Tamandua tetradactyla: one gene and its partner. The protein of the gene in region 1 interacts with the protein of each later gene in a pairwise test. Links are inferred from orthologs where the notes say so. Each region holds a gene or a part of one and is shown on either strand. Other genes may lie near its edges.

What was found. The genes of interacting proteins can lie anywhere in the genome.
Region 2: the proteins of RBM10 (region 1) and RBM12B interact in a two-hybrid assay, tested with the Homo sapiens proteins (3 studies listed by BioGRID). The link is inferred for Tamandua tetradactyla from reciprocal best matches to the Homo sapiens genes RBM10 and RBM12B.

Annotation. Positions count from the first base shown.
Region 1 is NC_135353.1:123,092,643-123,100,180, forward strand, and holds the start of RBM10 (RNA-binding protein 10), read right to left. Parts: upstream 3,021-7,538; 5' UTR 2,718-3,020; intron 2,553-2,717; 5' UTR 2,501-2,552; coding exon 2,407-2,500; intron 616-2,406; coding exon 474-615; intron 1-473. Other genes in the region: NDUFB11 (NADH dehydrogenase [ubiquinone] 1 beta subcomplex subunit 11, mitochondrial), read left to right, coding at 3,265-3,471, 5,030-5,160, 5,343-5,469. UniProt on the Homo sapiens protein: Binds to ssRNA containing the consensus sequence 5'-AGGUAA-3'. May be involved in post-transcriptional processing, most probably in mRNA splicing. Binds to RNA homopolymers, with a preference for poly(G) and poly(U) and little for poly(A).
Region 2 is NC_135332.1:137,057,904-137,065,113, reverse strand, and holds the start of RBM12B (RNA-binding protein 12B), read left to right. Parts: upstream 1-4,157; 5' UTR 4,158-4,332; intron 4,333-7,210.

The DNA of each region.
Region 1 (7,538 bases):
CTCTCTCCTGACCCACAGGCACTTACAACCCAATACTCATCTGACCCCAACCTCTGCCTCTCTTCCTGCAGCAGCTGTCCTCAACTTAGTAAATGACACCACATACCTATCCAGGTCAACCAAATTGGAAATGTGGGATCAGCCTCAACTCCTACCTTTTTCTTGATCCCCTCCCAACCTCATATCCAACCATGGAATCCACTGTGTTTATTGTAATCACCTGCAAACTGTACCATCTCCCTTGTGAGACCCTGAGTAACACAGGGCTGAAACCTTATTTGTCTCATTTATCACTGCATTCCTAGAGCCTAGCACAGTTCCTGGCCCACAAAAGGTGTCAAATGTCTACTGAAAATAAATCAATCATCTGCTATTTCCTCTGTCTGCAAGGCCTTTCCTAGCATCTTCCTGAACCAATGCTCACTTGGGGACAAGCCTAAACTGCTTTGTAGGAGTGGGGGAGGATAACTTACCGTCTTTCATACTCCATATCCTGATAGGGCCTGCGGGGGCTGCTGGGGCCCCTCCTTAGCCGCTGGCTCCGTTTCACTTCCCAGCCACCCCCACTGCTGCCACCATGATCTGCCAGCCTGGGTGATTCCTCCTGTAGGGACTCTAGGGAGATGGGAGGAAAGAAAGGGGTCAAGGCAGCTGGGGCAGAAAAGGTCTCCTTGAGAAACTCTGGTTGTCCAGATATTTTGCTGTTCTTTAGCCTGGGACATTGTTTTCCAACTCCTAGTACTCCTGTAGACCAAAATGGGAATACAACTACTGCTTGGCCTCCTTCTTCCTTTCTCCACAAACACGTGGCTAGAGCCCTCTCCCTAGAAATAGCAAGACCGTCATCAGATAGGAGAGCATCTTGTAGAGAGAGCTGGAACACTCAGAGGGGCCACAGACCTCGGAGACTGGAGGGGTAGTGATGTCACCCACCCATCCAGTATTCAGGGATTTGCCACCTGAGACTTGTAGACAAGCTGCCTGCCCAGGGGAGCGCTTAGCGCTGAATGACCTGCCACAGAATAGACACTTTAAGTACAGAGGTGAGACTCCACAGCAAGGGGAGTCTCAGGCATCCACCAGGCTCCTTCTAGGCCCCCAGGAGCCATTTCGTCCTCCTAACAAGATTCTGCAAGGGGACAGGAAGGAGACCATGAAACATTCTTGGGTGAGGAGGGGGGTGGGGGCTAATTTGGCAACGAGATAGCTGCTGTCTCACTAGGCTCCTGGCCAGCTCAGCTTTGGCTCTCACAGGGCAATTGGGTCAAACTAATATTCAGCCAGGTCCCAAAGTGGCTCTCTCCCCAGGGTTTGGGCCCAAGTCTTCTCAGACGTAACAGGGGCCCTTTCAGAGGCTGTTTCAAACCACTGTGCTATTCTGCTAGGCCAGAGGAGCAGTCAGTCAACTCACTCAACCCTGAGGGTTGCGGAGCCATGTGACCCAGCCAAGGGTCATGATATATCCTGAATCTTCAGGCCCCACCCTGTGAACAGGAATCTGAGAAAAGCCTATCGGTTACAGCACCTGCCCAACACTAGGATGCCACCACACCTTTCCCCATGCATACACACACCAATTTTCTCTTCCTCCTCAAGCCACAGGGAACCAGAGTTACCTATCTCCAGATACCTAAAGATTAGAATCACAACCAGGGGTCCACTTGGATGAAACCCAGATACAGGCTCTGGCAAAGGAACCAGAGCCACAACAGATAGAGGCCAAAGTCACAGATACGAGCCCCAAATAACTACAGGCAGAAATCACAGATAGAGACCCGCAATAAATAAGGGCCATAATCACACACTGAGCTCCCTTTCAATGGATAAGTATCACAGTCACAGATAGAAACCTCTCAAAAGAAGGGGCAATAAACCACACATACACTCCCTACACTCAATAAGTGGGTTAGGGCCTAGACACTGCCCCCCCACCCCCTACCCCACATGAGTAAGGACCAGAGTCACAGACATACCCTAGGGATAAAGAGCGGAGTCGTACAAACTATGAGCCCCCGCCGGCTCACGAATAAGGACCAGAGCCACAAAACATGTCCCCACTGATAGACAGGTACCAGTCACATAGACCGAGCAGACAGCACATCCCCTCCCCTGTGGATAAAAACTAAAGTCGCAGACACCCGACTCTCCAGGGATAAAGCCCAGCGTCACTGACAGTAAGCCACAGTAACCCACTCCCATCCTTCCCTCCCTTCCCCCAACTCGCGTGCACCCATCCCCGTGGTCCCAATCGCGCACGCGCCTTTGGTCTCAAAGGGGAAAAAAAAAAAGTCACCCTCTCCCGGGTTCAGACTGTGCACTCATCCCTCAGTTCCGCGCACCCTCCAGGCCCCTGGCCCGCAGTCCTTCCTTGCGCTCCTCTACGCACCCCGTTTCCCAGCCCCTTACCTCCACCCTCAAGACCAGCGTCGACGCTCACCTTCTCGGTCCGGGCTGTCACGGGAGGGCTCCCAGACATCACCTCGGCCCGTCGCCACCGCATCCAACTCTCCCAGCTCAGCCGGAGCTGGTCAGCGTAACCACCAAGTCCGTGGCTGGAGGCAGAGGGGAGGAGGAGGGGAGAAAGGGGAAGGGAGAAGCGCCAGACGCGCTACCCTCCCCGGAAAACCCACTGCCACCTACTCCCAGTCGATCTCAAACAGCCACACAAAATGGCGACGACGAGAAGGGAACCGGTGCTTCGACCACCATCCACCTACTAAGGGAGCGCGCTCCGCCGGTCCTCGTCTATTGGTCGCCGCCCGCGGTCGGCCAACCCTGGCCTCCTCTGATTGGCAAGCGAATGCCACCTCCCCACTCCCGCGTGCGAACGCCCGCAAGTCGAGAAAAAGAGTGGCCATTGGTCAATCCCGCGAGGCCCGCTTCTTAGAAGCTTGGCTTCCTTTGAAGATGAAAGGCAAACGGAAGCCCCGCCCCTTCCCCAAACAGCAAGGGAACTCGCTGTGCGATTGGCTGTGAACCACCCAAATGACACCGCTTTTTTCCCATCAAGGAAGAGAGCAGACCTGTCAATAAGAAACTCCTCAGCCCGAAGGAGAGGATAAGAGAAGGGTTGGTCCCTCCAGGACATGACAGAGAGAGGGAAAGAGGGCCACGCAGCGCCCCGCCTCATTTGAAAAGAAAATCAGACCTGAGACTTATTTACTGCGGCGGCGGCGGAGCGACAAATATCGCGCACGCGCAAACTGCAGCTGCGCAGAATCGCATTGCCGTCCCCGCCCCTAAGTTACTACGGAGCAATCTATCATGGCGGTCGGGCAACTAGGTTTGTACGCTCGCCGCATTTTGGCTGCAGCTGCGACGCGGGGGCTCCCGGCTGCCCGTGTCCGTTGGGAATCCGGCTCTTCTCGGGCTGTAGTCGCTCCACCTGTCGTGGCGGAGAAGCGTACTCGGGAACCGACCATACGCTGGCAGGAGGACCCGGATCCCGAGGACGAAAACCTCTACGAGAAGGTGAGAGGGAGGGGGAACTAGGACGTCGAAAGGGTCAATCGGGAGCAGGCTGACGGAGCGCAGTAGAGGACGTTCTTAGTTGACCGAAGGTTGCGCAGCTGGCGAAATCCTCTATGAATTTTGCCTAGCTTGTTCGCCTAATTTGTCCCCTGAGAGTCTGGTCTAGGGCCAGATGCGGGATTGGCATTATTTTGCAGACAGAAATCAAACTTGAAGTGGGCAATTCTCAAACCACGTTAGAAGCAATATAGTATAACAACAATAATATTAAACACCAATATGGCGCTTATTCTGCCAGGCAGTGTTCTAAGGACTTTATATGCATTAGCTCATCTAAGAAGCAATAATGTTTTGAGATAGACACTATTATATACCCATTTTACAGATGCGAGAACAAGCGCAGGGATGTTAGATGCTTGTCTCAGCTAACATAACATAACTGAATACATGGTGGAAATAGGTATTTGAACCTAGGTCTACTGGTCTGCTGTCCTGTATTAATAACAGACTCTAAAGTCAAATGGCCTGGGTTCGGATCCAGACACTTAATAGTTACTCATTTGTGTGACCTTGGGCAAGTGGTTCAACCTCTTGTGCCTAAGTTTTCTTTGTAAAATGGGGAAGTAATAAAAACACTATCTAAAGAATAGAATACTATACCTGCCTCATGCAATTAAATTAACCAAAATGGTCAGAACAGCAGCTTGTACTTGGTAAGTACTCAGCTTTAGAAGCTGTAAATTATTATTGGCACTTTCTGCCTGTTGGGATATTGTGAGGTTTGCATATGTAAAAAGACCTGGCACATAATAGGTACCACATCAGAATTAATTTCTGGTTTACAGAGTTAGATTTGCAAAACGCTTATTCACTTTTTACTCATTGTAAATATGTAATGAGGGCCTGCTGTATGCCAGGCACAGTTCTGGGTCCTAGGGATACAGCAATGTGGAAATCAGACAAAGCCTGTACTTTCATAGAGCTTAAGTGATGTTGGGGGAAGACTTAAAAATAAACATGTAAACTATTGGATGACAATAATATAGAATAATATAATAGGTAATACAATAATGTGATACAGAGGATCTGGGCAGATGTTACTTTGGTAAATAATCTCAAATAATGGTAAATGAAAGTTAAGCAGCATAAGAAAGAAATGAAAAGAAAGTTAAGCAGCATAAGGGGATAGAGTGACATGGAGATTGGGAATTACCTTATTAGATTGAAACCACAGAAAATTACCAACGTTCAACCATTTTAAGTGGTAGTTTCATATGGTTCAATGTAGTCGATAAGGTGATTAATGAACACCTCCTAAAGGAATTGAGTGAGGAGAAGCCAGCCATGACTGGATCTGGGAGAAAAGCAGAGGGAACAGCAAGTGCAAAAGGCCTAGTGATGGGAAGAAACTTGGCATGTCCTAAAAATAGAAAGAGAGGAATACAGTGAGGGAGAGAATGTTGGTCCGAGGTGAGATTGGAAACCAGGTTATAAAGGGCCAGCATGAGGCTTCATGGAAAAGCAGGAAGCTCTCATTGATATCATCATCCTGCCACAGAACCCAGACTCCCATGGTTATGACACGGACCCTGTTGTGGACCTCTGGAACATGCGGGCCGTCTTCTTCTTTGGCTTTTCCATTGTCCTTGTCCTTGGCAGCACCTTTGTGGCTTACCTGCCTGACTACAGGTACATGGGAAGTCTGAGAGAGTGGGATGGGTGGGGGGGAGCAGAGGCAAGGGTCGGGGTTGAAGGGAACTCTGCCAGGAATCCTGTTCCTGCACTGTTGGGGAAAGGGGAGCTGAGATGGGGGATTGGATTGGTGTTTGGTGAGGCTCCCTCCTGTCTATTCCTGCTGCTGCCATCTCCAGGATGCGAGAGTGGGCCCGCCGGGAAGCGGAGAGGCTTGTAAAGTACCGCGAAGCTAATGGCCTCCCCCTCATGGAATCCAACTGCTTTGACCCCAGCAAGATCCAGCTGCCAGAGGATGAGCAGTAACCAGTTGCTGAGTGGGGCTCTGGAAGCACCTCCCTCTCCACTCCCCTCCCACCATCCTGCCATCTCCTCAGAGCACCTGATGATTAAAGGGACTGAAAGTCTGCCTGGCTAGCTGTTGATTTTGTCGAGGAGGGGAGGCTGGCAGGGGGCTGGTATCACAAGCCTTAAAAGGGCCACTTGCAGCCTTTTTTTGGTGTTCTGGCTATCTATTGCTGTGTAACAACCACCCTAAAACTTGTAGCTTAAAACAACACTTTATTATTCTCTCTCGTGTATTTATGGATTGGCAGGGCTCACCTAGATGGTTCTTCCTTGGGATCTCTCAGGTGGTTGCAGTCAGATGGTGGCTGGGGCTGGAGCCATCTGAAGGCTCAACTGGGCTGGATGTCCAAGACTTCTTTAGGCACATGACTGGCACTTGAGTCTTTTTCTGTATGGCCTTCCTCTCTAGCAGAAGGGCCTGGGCTTCTTACATGGTGGCTCAGGGCTCCCCTGGATAAGGGAGTAGCATATAGAAAGAAATGCATGACAGTCATCTTTAGAGACAAGCTACCACATAGCAATCTCTTCAATTTGAAGAAGAGCTAGGAAGACCTGGCATTGAGGGTGGTGAGCAGAGCAGGGCTGTTCTATTGCTGAGTGTTTTAGTTTGCTAATGCTGCCAGAATGCAATACACCAAAAAAAAAAAAAAAAAATGGACAGGCTTTTTATAAAGGGGATTTATTTAGTTACAAATTTACAGTTCTTTGGAGGAAAGGCAGCTGGCTTTCCTCTGGCTTTATCTGTTTCATGGGAAGGCACACAGCAATATCTGTTGGTCTTCCCTCCCAGTTTCTGGGTTCAAACAGTTTTCCCCAGGGCAATTCCTTTCTGCATCTCCAAATGTCTGGTTCTGAGTTGCTGAGTGCTCTTCTGAGCTTTCTCTGTCTCTCTCTTTTTTTTTTTGCACGGGCAGACACCAGGAATTGAACCCAGGTCTCCAGCATGGCAGGCGAGAATTCTGCCACTGAGCTAAGTCGCACCACCCCTGACCTTTCTCTTTTAAGCCTCCAGCTAATTAAATTAAATGTCACTCATTGCAGAGGGCACACCCCTTAGCTGACCGCAGGTATAATTGGCCATAGAATTTCACATACTGATGATTTAAGTCAACAACAGAACAACAGGCACCATCACCTGGTCAAGTTGACACCTGAAACTAACTACTACACTGAGGGTGGGTGTTTGTCCCCATCCCTGCCTTCTCTGTTTCTCTTTGGACTTTGAAGTTTCTGCCTCTGTCTTAGTGAGTCTGGATGCCCCTCTCTTCCCTTCTACCCCGAATCTGGGTGGTTTGTAACTCAAAATATGCACCCGTGTGTGTGTGTGTGTGTGTGTGTGTGTGTGTGTGTGTGTGTGTGTGTGTGTTCTCCCCCCTTCTTGCTCTCTGTCTCTGTGTCTGTCTCTCAAGCAGGAAGTCTTTTCTTCTGTCTGTCTCTCTCTGGAAATAGGCTGTCTTGCATAAAGGCTCACTCTCTCAGGCTGTCTTTGGATCTGGCAGATGAAATAAGGCACTTTCTCTGGTTCTGGCTGTCTGTTTCTTTCCAAAGAGTTTCTTCTAATTCCCTGTTAAGTCTGGAATCTGGACTCCATACTTCTGGCATCTCGCCCTCTCTCCCTGGTAGCATCCCTTCCACAGCTCATGCATTCGAATTCACACATTACATACTCCTGTGTTTATCCCTGCTTTGGGCTTCAAAGAGTGTAGGTAACCCAGTCACTGACAAAATTTGACCCTGAAATAATTAGATTTGGTGAAAATTGGTCACAAAGCTCAGAATGACAGGAAATATTTATTCAGAAAAAATACTGAGTCCCTACTGGGTGCCAGGCACTGTTATAGGCAATAGGAATACAGCAGAGAACAAAAGATTTAAAAATTCCTTTTTTTATATTCTAGTAGGGAGAAACAGACAATAAGCAACACAATAAATGAGTATATTACATGCATGTTAAGAGGTGATAAGTAGGCATTCAATTCAAACCTAAGCCAGTAAGGGGGATCAGGAGTGCAGGGACTGGGAGGTTT
Region 2 (7,210 bases), on another chromosome or scaffold:
AGGAGGAGAATCCTGTGCCTTATGTGCTTCATAAGTGGAACAACCAGTTCTCCTTCTTTTCATCCTCTCCCATAACAGGGGAGAATGATGCCTCCTAACCTCTTGAGAGCTTCCCTGGCGCAAATCAGGTGGCTTCTCAGCTTTTCCCATTATCAATTTAAGGTTCAACCCTCTCGGTTTTACAAAAGAAACGATCACTCATTCCTAACTTTTCTGCTTGCATAGTTTTGTTTCTGTTGTCTTCTATCCTATTTTCTTTGTTCTTGTCTGTATTTATCTTTTTTACAAGCTCCTTTCTGTTATTTTATTAGGATTTCTGGAGGGAGTGGAGGCAAATGCCTAAATTCAAACTATTATCTTAATCTGGAAGCCAAAAATGAGGTCTTAACTGGTCTTCATGCACCTACTCTTACTACTGTATATTCCATTGACCAGCTGTAGCAATCTTTTGAAACGCAAATCTAAGATGTAACCTCCCTGCTTAAAACAGTTCACTGTTTTCCAGTACTCCTAGAAGAATGAACCATAATCTTCAAGAGAGTCTGACTTTTTCTTGCAGCCTCATGTTTTCCTGTGTGCTCCTGTGCACTCTATCCACTGTGATCCTCTTCCTGTACTTTTAATACCAGAGAGACTTTACACTTATCTGCCTGGAACTCTCCTCCTTTTCTCCTTACCCATGCCCAGAAATTTCCCTTAACATTGTTAACTTACCTTCCTTCCTTCTAGCTCATTCATTATTATTATTATTTTTTTTTTTGGTATGCTGGATGGTGAGGGTTACATTTCATTCTTTTCCCATTTGAGTATTCTGTTATTACAGCACCATTTGTTGAATTTTTGGGGGGGTGGGGGTGGGGGGGGGGAAGTGCGTGGGCCAGGAATTGAACCCAAATCTCCCACGTGGCAGGCAAGAATTTTAACACTGAACTATCCTAGCACCCCTTCATTCATCAGTTTCTAATGGTATCCCTCCTGCCTTCCTGACTAGGCCAGGCCCTCCTATGAAATACTTTCACAATACCATGTATTTTAGAGCACTTATCCCTTTGGTAAATTTACATTTAGATGTGCAATTCTTTCATCTGCTTTCCTCTCAGTGTAGTAAAAGAAAGGATTATGTCTCTTTTTGTTCATCATTTCTCCTCAGTACCAGGTGCTCTGCCTGGGCCATTGTATGCATTTACTACACATTTGTTGTAATGGAAAGAATAAACCAAAACTTGCTTCTTTCCCTTTATTCTCTAGCTTATTAACATCTTTCAAACTTTAAGGGGAACTCTGTGCTTTCTCTCCTCATTTCATCCCTGGGAAGGCAGCAGAGGGTCAATATGGGTTATGGCTGGAACCACAAGACCTCTGGACATGATCCTAAAGGACAGAATTATTTGGTGCATAATTGATATGGCTTTTTGAATTATCTTTTTTGGGCTTTTCCTTACATTCTCCTTGTTTGGAATTTTTTCTTAGATACTTCTTCCTCTGGCCTTCTTCGTTTTCATCAAACTGAGAGTGAATGGAACACAGCGAAAGAAAGCCTAACTAAAAGGAGACATCCTATTTCACATGTGGTCCTGACCACTTTCCCAGGAATGAGTTTGACAACTGAGATTTGGGGGCCAAAGCTTAAGAAATAAAATATGGTGATTTTACCCAGTATTTTCTCCTTTCTGCATATCTCCCATTCAGGATCCTTATCTCTATCTTTCTCTCCTGGAAGCAAGACTCACATTTATCTCAGGCAAGAAGTTATTCAAGATATTGAACACACAATCCACGTTCAGTAAATGTCAGTAGATTGAATGGAGGTCAAGTGTAGAAAAGGAATGAAGATCTTGGATAACATCAAAGAACTGTAAGGCCAAGTGATGCAAATACGTTCATGTGGATGTTGAAGAGCTATAGGAAGGGTGCATCTGAAAACTGTCTGAAACCAAAATCATTCAGGAGGGTAGATGGTGCTGTAGTTGTGATAAAATGCCTGGGGAGGCTGATTAACTGCTCACACAGAGTCACAAAGTCACCGGTGCTCAGTGTGGCCACCATGTTTCATGGTATAGTCCTCTCTTTTGCTGTTTCAGAAACATAGCTTTCTCTCTTTTCCCCCAAATGATTGGTTTTTCATGCAGAGACACTGAAGGCACAAAACCTCCGCAGTAATTGAAATATCATGTGGGAAAACCCAATTACCATGACTGGAATTTTCTTTCTTTCTTTCTTTCTTTTTTTTTTTTTTTGATTGTGTGGCATGTCCTCAAATCCAGTTATGATCATCTGAAAAATGTGGGAGGCCAACTAGAAAAGCCAGACATTCAATGTAGAAAAAGTCTGTGTGATTATGGGGGCTGATGAGCCCAGAACGATGGAGAAAGCAATGAGAAGCTGTCAATGTCTAGTTTAAGCCTGTTCAGGGGAGTGTCTGTTCTGGTCATATTTGGCCAGAGGAGCCCTCTAGCAAGTGTTCATGAAATGATAGCTATTGTTTTTGTTAATATGGGTAAGGATGTCTCCAGGTAGCCTTAACTGAAAAACATTTTTTGAGATTAGGTAACTCTTTGTGCTCTATCTCCATTCTTAGCAAATAACTTTCTGATCATTTGACTCCATATTGAGAATGCATACGGGCCAGGAAAGTGCTGGTTGATCTGAAATGATCTCAGATTCACTTTACTAGTGTTTCTTCTTTGGATTTAATGTTGATATTCTGGAATTTACATTTTGCTTTTGTGTGCTTGCTATTAAAGGGAGTCTGCCTCAGAATTCTTCTGTGTATTATAGTACAGTAGCCACTGGAGGCAAATCACTAGCATTCAATTCTTGGCATTACCTTGTACTATGTGACATTGGGCGAGTTATGCAACCCTCTATGCTCCCTTTCTCTTATTTGTAAGACAGGAAAAATAAGAGTACTGATGATAGTTTAAGAATAAAGTGAAATACTGCAAAGGGACTGATACATAACACACCCTCAAAAGCCCTTAAGGTCAGTTTCTTGAGCAAGACTGGGACCAAACACTGAAGTATGGGGAATAATCAAGGTAAATACTACCTAATCAATGTGACCAGCTCCCAAAGATGACTTCCTCTGCCTCTCTTTGTATCACTATGACAGCTGAAACAAGTGGCTAACAGAATCGTTCCAGATATTTGCATATATTAATTTATTCAACATTCCTTACAACTCAAAAGGTAGGTACTATTGTTATTCTGTTTTACAGATGAGGAAACTGAGGCATAGAAAGGTTAAGTGATTTACCCCACTCTGGGAACCATATTTTACTCACTTGTTAAACTACCTCGTTTCTCACAAACATATTAAATTTGAGAATGATTATTTTGCTGTGGGAGAAGGATTCAAAGCCCATTTGCTCACTCATCTGTGTCAATGTTTTAAAAATGTCATTTCTGCTTTTTTAGTAAACTTTTAATCAATCCATAAATGCATTATGTAATTGCATGGGCTTTTTATTAGATACAAATAATAATATAAAACCAAACATAAGTTGTTCACCAACTACTACATAGCAGGAATCAAAGAATTTGTACTTGTTCCTGTAATTGTGCTTTTCATTCCCCAATTTTCAGGACTAACACTTCTGTTCTCGTCTCAAAATACCTTAGGGTGGGAAGGATAAATTTATAAAGGCCCTTCTTCACAAAGTTACTAATACCCATAAAATTGAGAAAGAGCATTTATTAAGCCTTTGGGTGTTGTTACCATACCTGGCGTACATCTAAGGCAGTAAAATAAACACTTCTGTGGCCTTTTACAGTTTACACAGAGACTTTCAGAAGATGCTTATACCACATGGTAACAAAAGCATCAAAAGGACAAAGTAATCGCCAACTTTCCTCTTCTTTTGCATCTCTTTCTTTAACTCCTAGGAATCCCGAGCTTTTGTGCAGGAGGTATTCACCGGTTAATTTCTTCAAAAGCCCCCTCTGACTCCAACCAGTAGACCCTTTGTTTCCGAATTTCGCCTTCCCCTGGGCGAAGCTCACCGGTTGGCTGGAATCAGAACATGCGCGGAAGTTTAGCAAATTCAGGGCGGGTTGGCGCGTTTGCCAGGCACCGCCTCCCTTCCCCTAACAACTGGAAGCGGCGCGTGCGTACACGGGGCCTCCCGCCGGGCTGGTGGGTTACGTCTGGTGTGCGCATGTGCAAACAAACTGTACATCCGTTTGTCCCGACCGGAGGGGCGAGTGGGCGCCATCTTCTTCTAGGTTTGTTGAGGGCTCTGCCGGTTCTGCGGAGGCTGCTGCGACGAGGAGCGCCCGCCACCCCAGCCTTGTGTGTCCAACTCGGCAGCAGTGGTGTGTGTTTATTGCCAAGTGCGAAGCAGTTACCCTTTGGGTGTGGTGGGTGGGGAGGGTTGCGACGAGGACGAAAGAACAGGGAAAGGCGGGGCCGGTGGCCGCGCCATGATTTAGCGTAGCTTCAGCGGTTAGGGCACCCTCTTTTCTAGCTGAACACCACCTCTCGGGTCTGTCTCCGTACGGTGGTGTGTGTGTGCGTGCGCTTCCCAGTGACCTTGACAGTGAAGATCTCGAAGGATTTCGTAGGTATTTTTTTGTTTGCTATGTCATCGTAGTCATTAGAGGCAGGAAAACGCCTGGCTTGTTAAGACTTGAGAGGGGCGAAAATATTTCAATTAGGTTTGGGTACAGTTCATCCTGTGGCGAGTTAGCTTGGAATGTGAGCCTTTGGGACGGTGTAACAGAAAGGCACCGGAGGTTGGGCGGTCCAGGTTAATTTGAAGGCTGATTTTGGCTGAAGGCTTGGCGACAGCATCGGATCCCACGTAGCAACTTTGGCCTGGCGCGGAGGAAGTCCTGACCCCTGGGAGTGTGGACAGAGGCTTTGGGCTATAGAATCGATGCCTTCCGATGATCCCCGTTTGAGGATGATGGATGTTATGGGAAATCCTGTGCCATGTGGATTCGTCTTCATATACAGTTCATATTGGGGACCATGGCTCTGTGTCGTCATGCCTTTATTTTAACCATCTACGTGTAAAAAGGCAGATCATCGTAAAGAATAATTGTGGACTCGGGTAGATTTTCTGCAGGGGAAACTCGCATTTAGAATTTGGATGTTCTTCATCATAATTTTGGGTTTTAAAAAGTAGTCACAGGCAAACAGTAAAAGGTTTTCTCTCCCTCACCATGTCTGGAAAATGACTTGTTTGTTTGTCATTTAAAATCAAATGGCTCTGAGATAATGCCTATTAATTCATTCCCCGTTCTCTATTTCCTTATTAGTCTTTGTGTTGTTTTAGTAATAGTGATTTCCTTATTAGTCTTTATTTTGTGTTGTTTAGGAATAGTGGTGATTAAGTTGGATGAACCGTTGGGTAAAATCAGCAAAAAACACTTAAAATGAGCTTATTAATTCCAGTGGCTTACTCTGATATGAGCCCTTAGGATCCGCTTCATTCTTTCCATAGGTTTGTAGTTCTGGCAGATTGCTGTGTCTTTAAATCAACTCAGAGTCACTCAAATACTTTCGTTGCATTCTTTAGAAAATTTGTAAGTGCTGAGTACTTTAGAGTATTTTGTGTATTTGGCTTTCGGTGTAATCTAATGTTCTAAGTAGAATTTCTGGAGAATTTGCCTTAAGGAAATAGTATATGGGAATCATTGGAAGAGTGCTCATTTTGAGAGCTCATGTCTTACAGGTGTTCTCCTGGTTAGAGAAACAAATTACCCTGCTGTCCGAAAGGCCAAAAAGTCTAAGCGTTAGATAAAACTGGAAAATTAGAACAAACTTTAGTCTGCTTGAGTTGGAATTCATGAGATACTCATGTGATTGCTTAAAACATAGTTTCTAAGCTAGGATAAACTAATTACTGGAGATTTTTTTGTTTGACATATTATTCTTTGAGACATTTGCCACTAATTTTTCTGGTAGAAGAATTTGTGTTCTTAGGGCAAATCCCTTTTTAAATATTAAAAGTGCTTAGGGTGTACAAAATGGTGCATAACCAGTATGCTTTCTAAAATATTTTAAAAGTAAAAAAGTAGCAAAGTCAATTTGCATAGGAGGGAGTCTTGGAAATTTAATGTGTATAACTGTTTCAGAAGACATAGATTTTGTCGAAATGTTGGTGTGGATATTAATTTGTTGATGAAGCTAGGCTTATACTTTTTTTGGGGGGTACCATGAACATATTTTAATCTCATTAATTAGATATTGATAATAATTCAGATGTAGGAGTGCCAAGTAATTTCTTGGTGTCTTTATCTGTTTAGCTTTTAACAGTTTTAAAAGTAGTTTTAAAAGTGTAGTCTATGGCTCCCTTTTAAAAGAAAACAAACCTTACAGATCTCAAAGAATGTCTTCAGAATCCATTTTGAGGCACAAGGGTACTTAAGTGTAAATATTAAACTGCAGCAAAATTTATTTGCAGATTAAAAACATAAATTTATAATGATTAATTTAGTAAGTCTTAACAGTTTGACAGTACCTCAATAAGTATTGTTAGTTGTGTATCCCTGAGAGTATTAGATGTATGTTTCCTTAAAAAGAATAGTAAATTGAGTTTTTTTTTAAGTAGCTGTATTGTTAATTACCACATGTTCCAAGTTAATGTGTTTTTATTATATTTTTTAGTTTTCTATGGTGTCATTTGGGTTTCCTCGTTGGAGTGCTAGTTAGTTGTTTGAATGGGAATAAATTTATTGGCATGATAAGATTCTATAATTATCTCAACATTTTCTATCTAGCTTGGGATGAGTGTTAATAGTTATTGTCTTAGGAGTTTAAGACAAGAAGTGATATTGAGAACTTTGATTTTAGAGATATTTTACTATTTTCCTCAATTACATTTTAGATCAGTTTTTCAAATGCGAAGAAGAATCAAAAATTTGATTACATGTTTGGAAATGTGAGCTGTATATATAAAACTTAAAATTCTATCTAAATGGTAGTCTGTAATTTGGATTTGTTATTTTAAGAATGATTTTTGAATTTCAAGTGCTGGTAGTTTTTGCTCTTATGTATTTAAAGGGAGAAGGTGGTAGAAGAGTTGTACATAAATACGATCTAGATGTTTGGTTTTTTGTAGGTGAAAGTAATGGAAGGTTTTTTGGACTTTTTTTAAATGGCTATAAAATATATAAACAATGCAATGCCCAGATCTTAAGGTAGAATTCAGTGAGTTTTGATAAATTTATACATCTGTGTGACTGCCACTCCAGCAAAATGTGG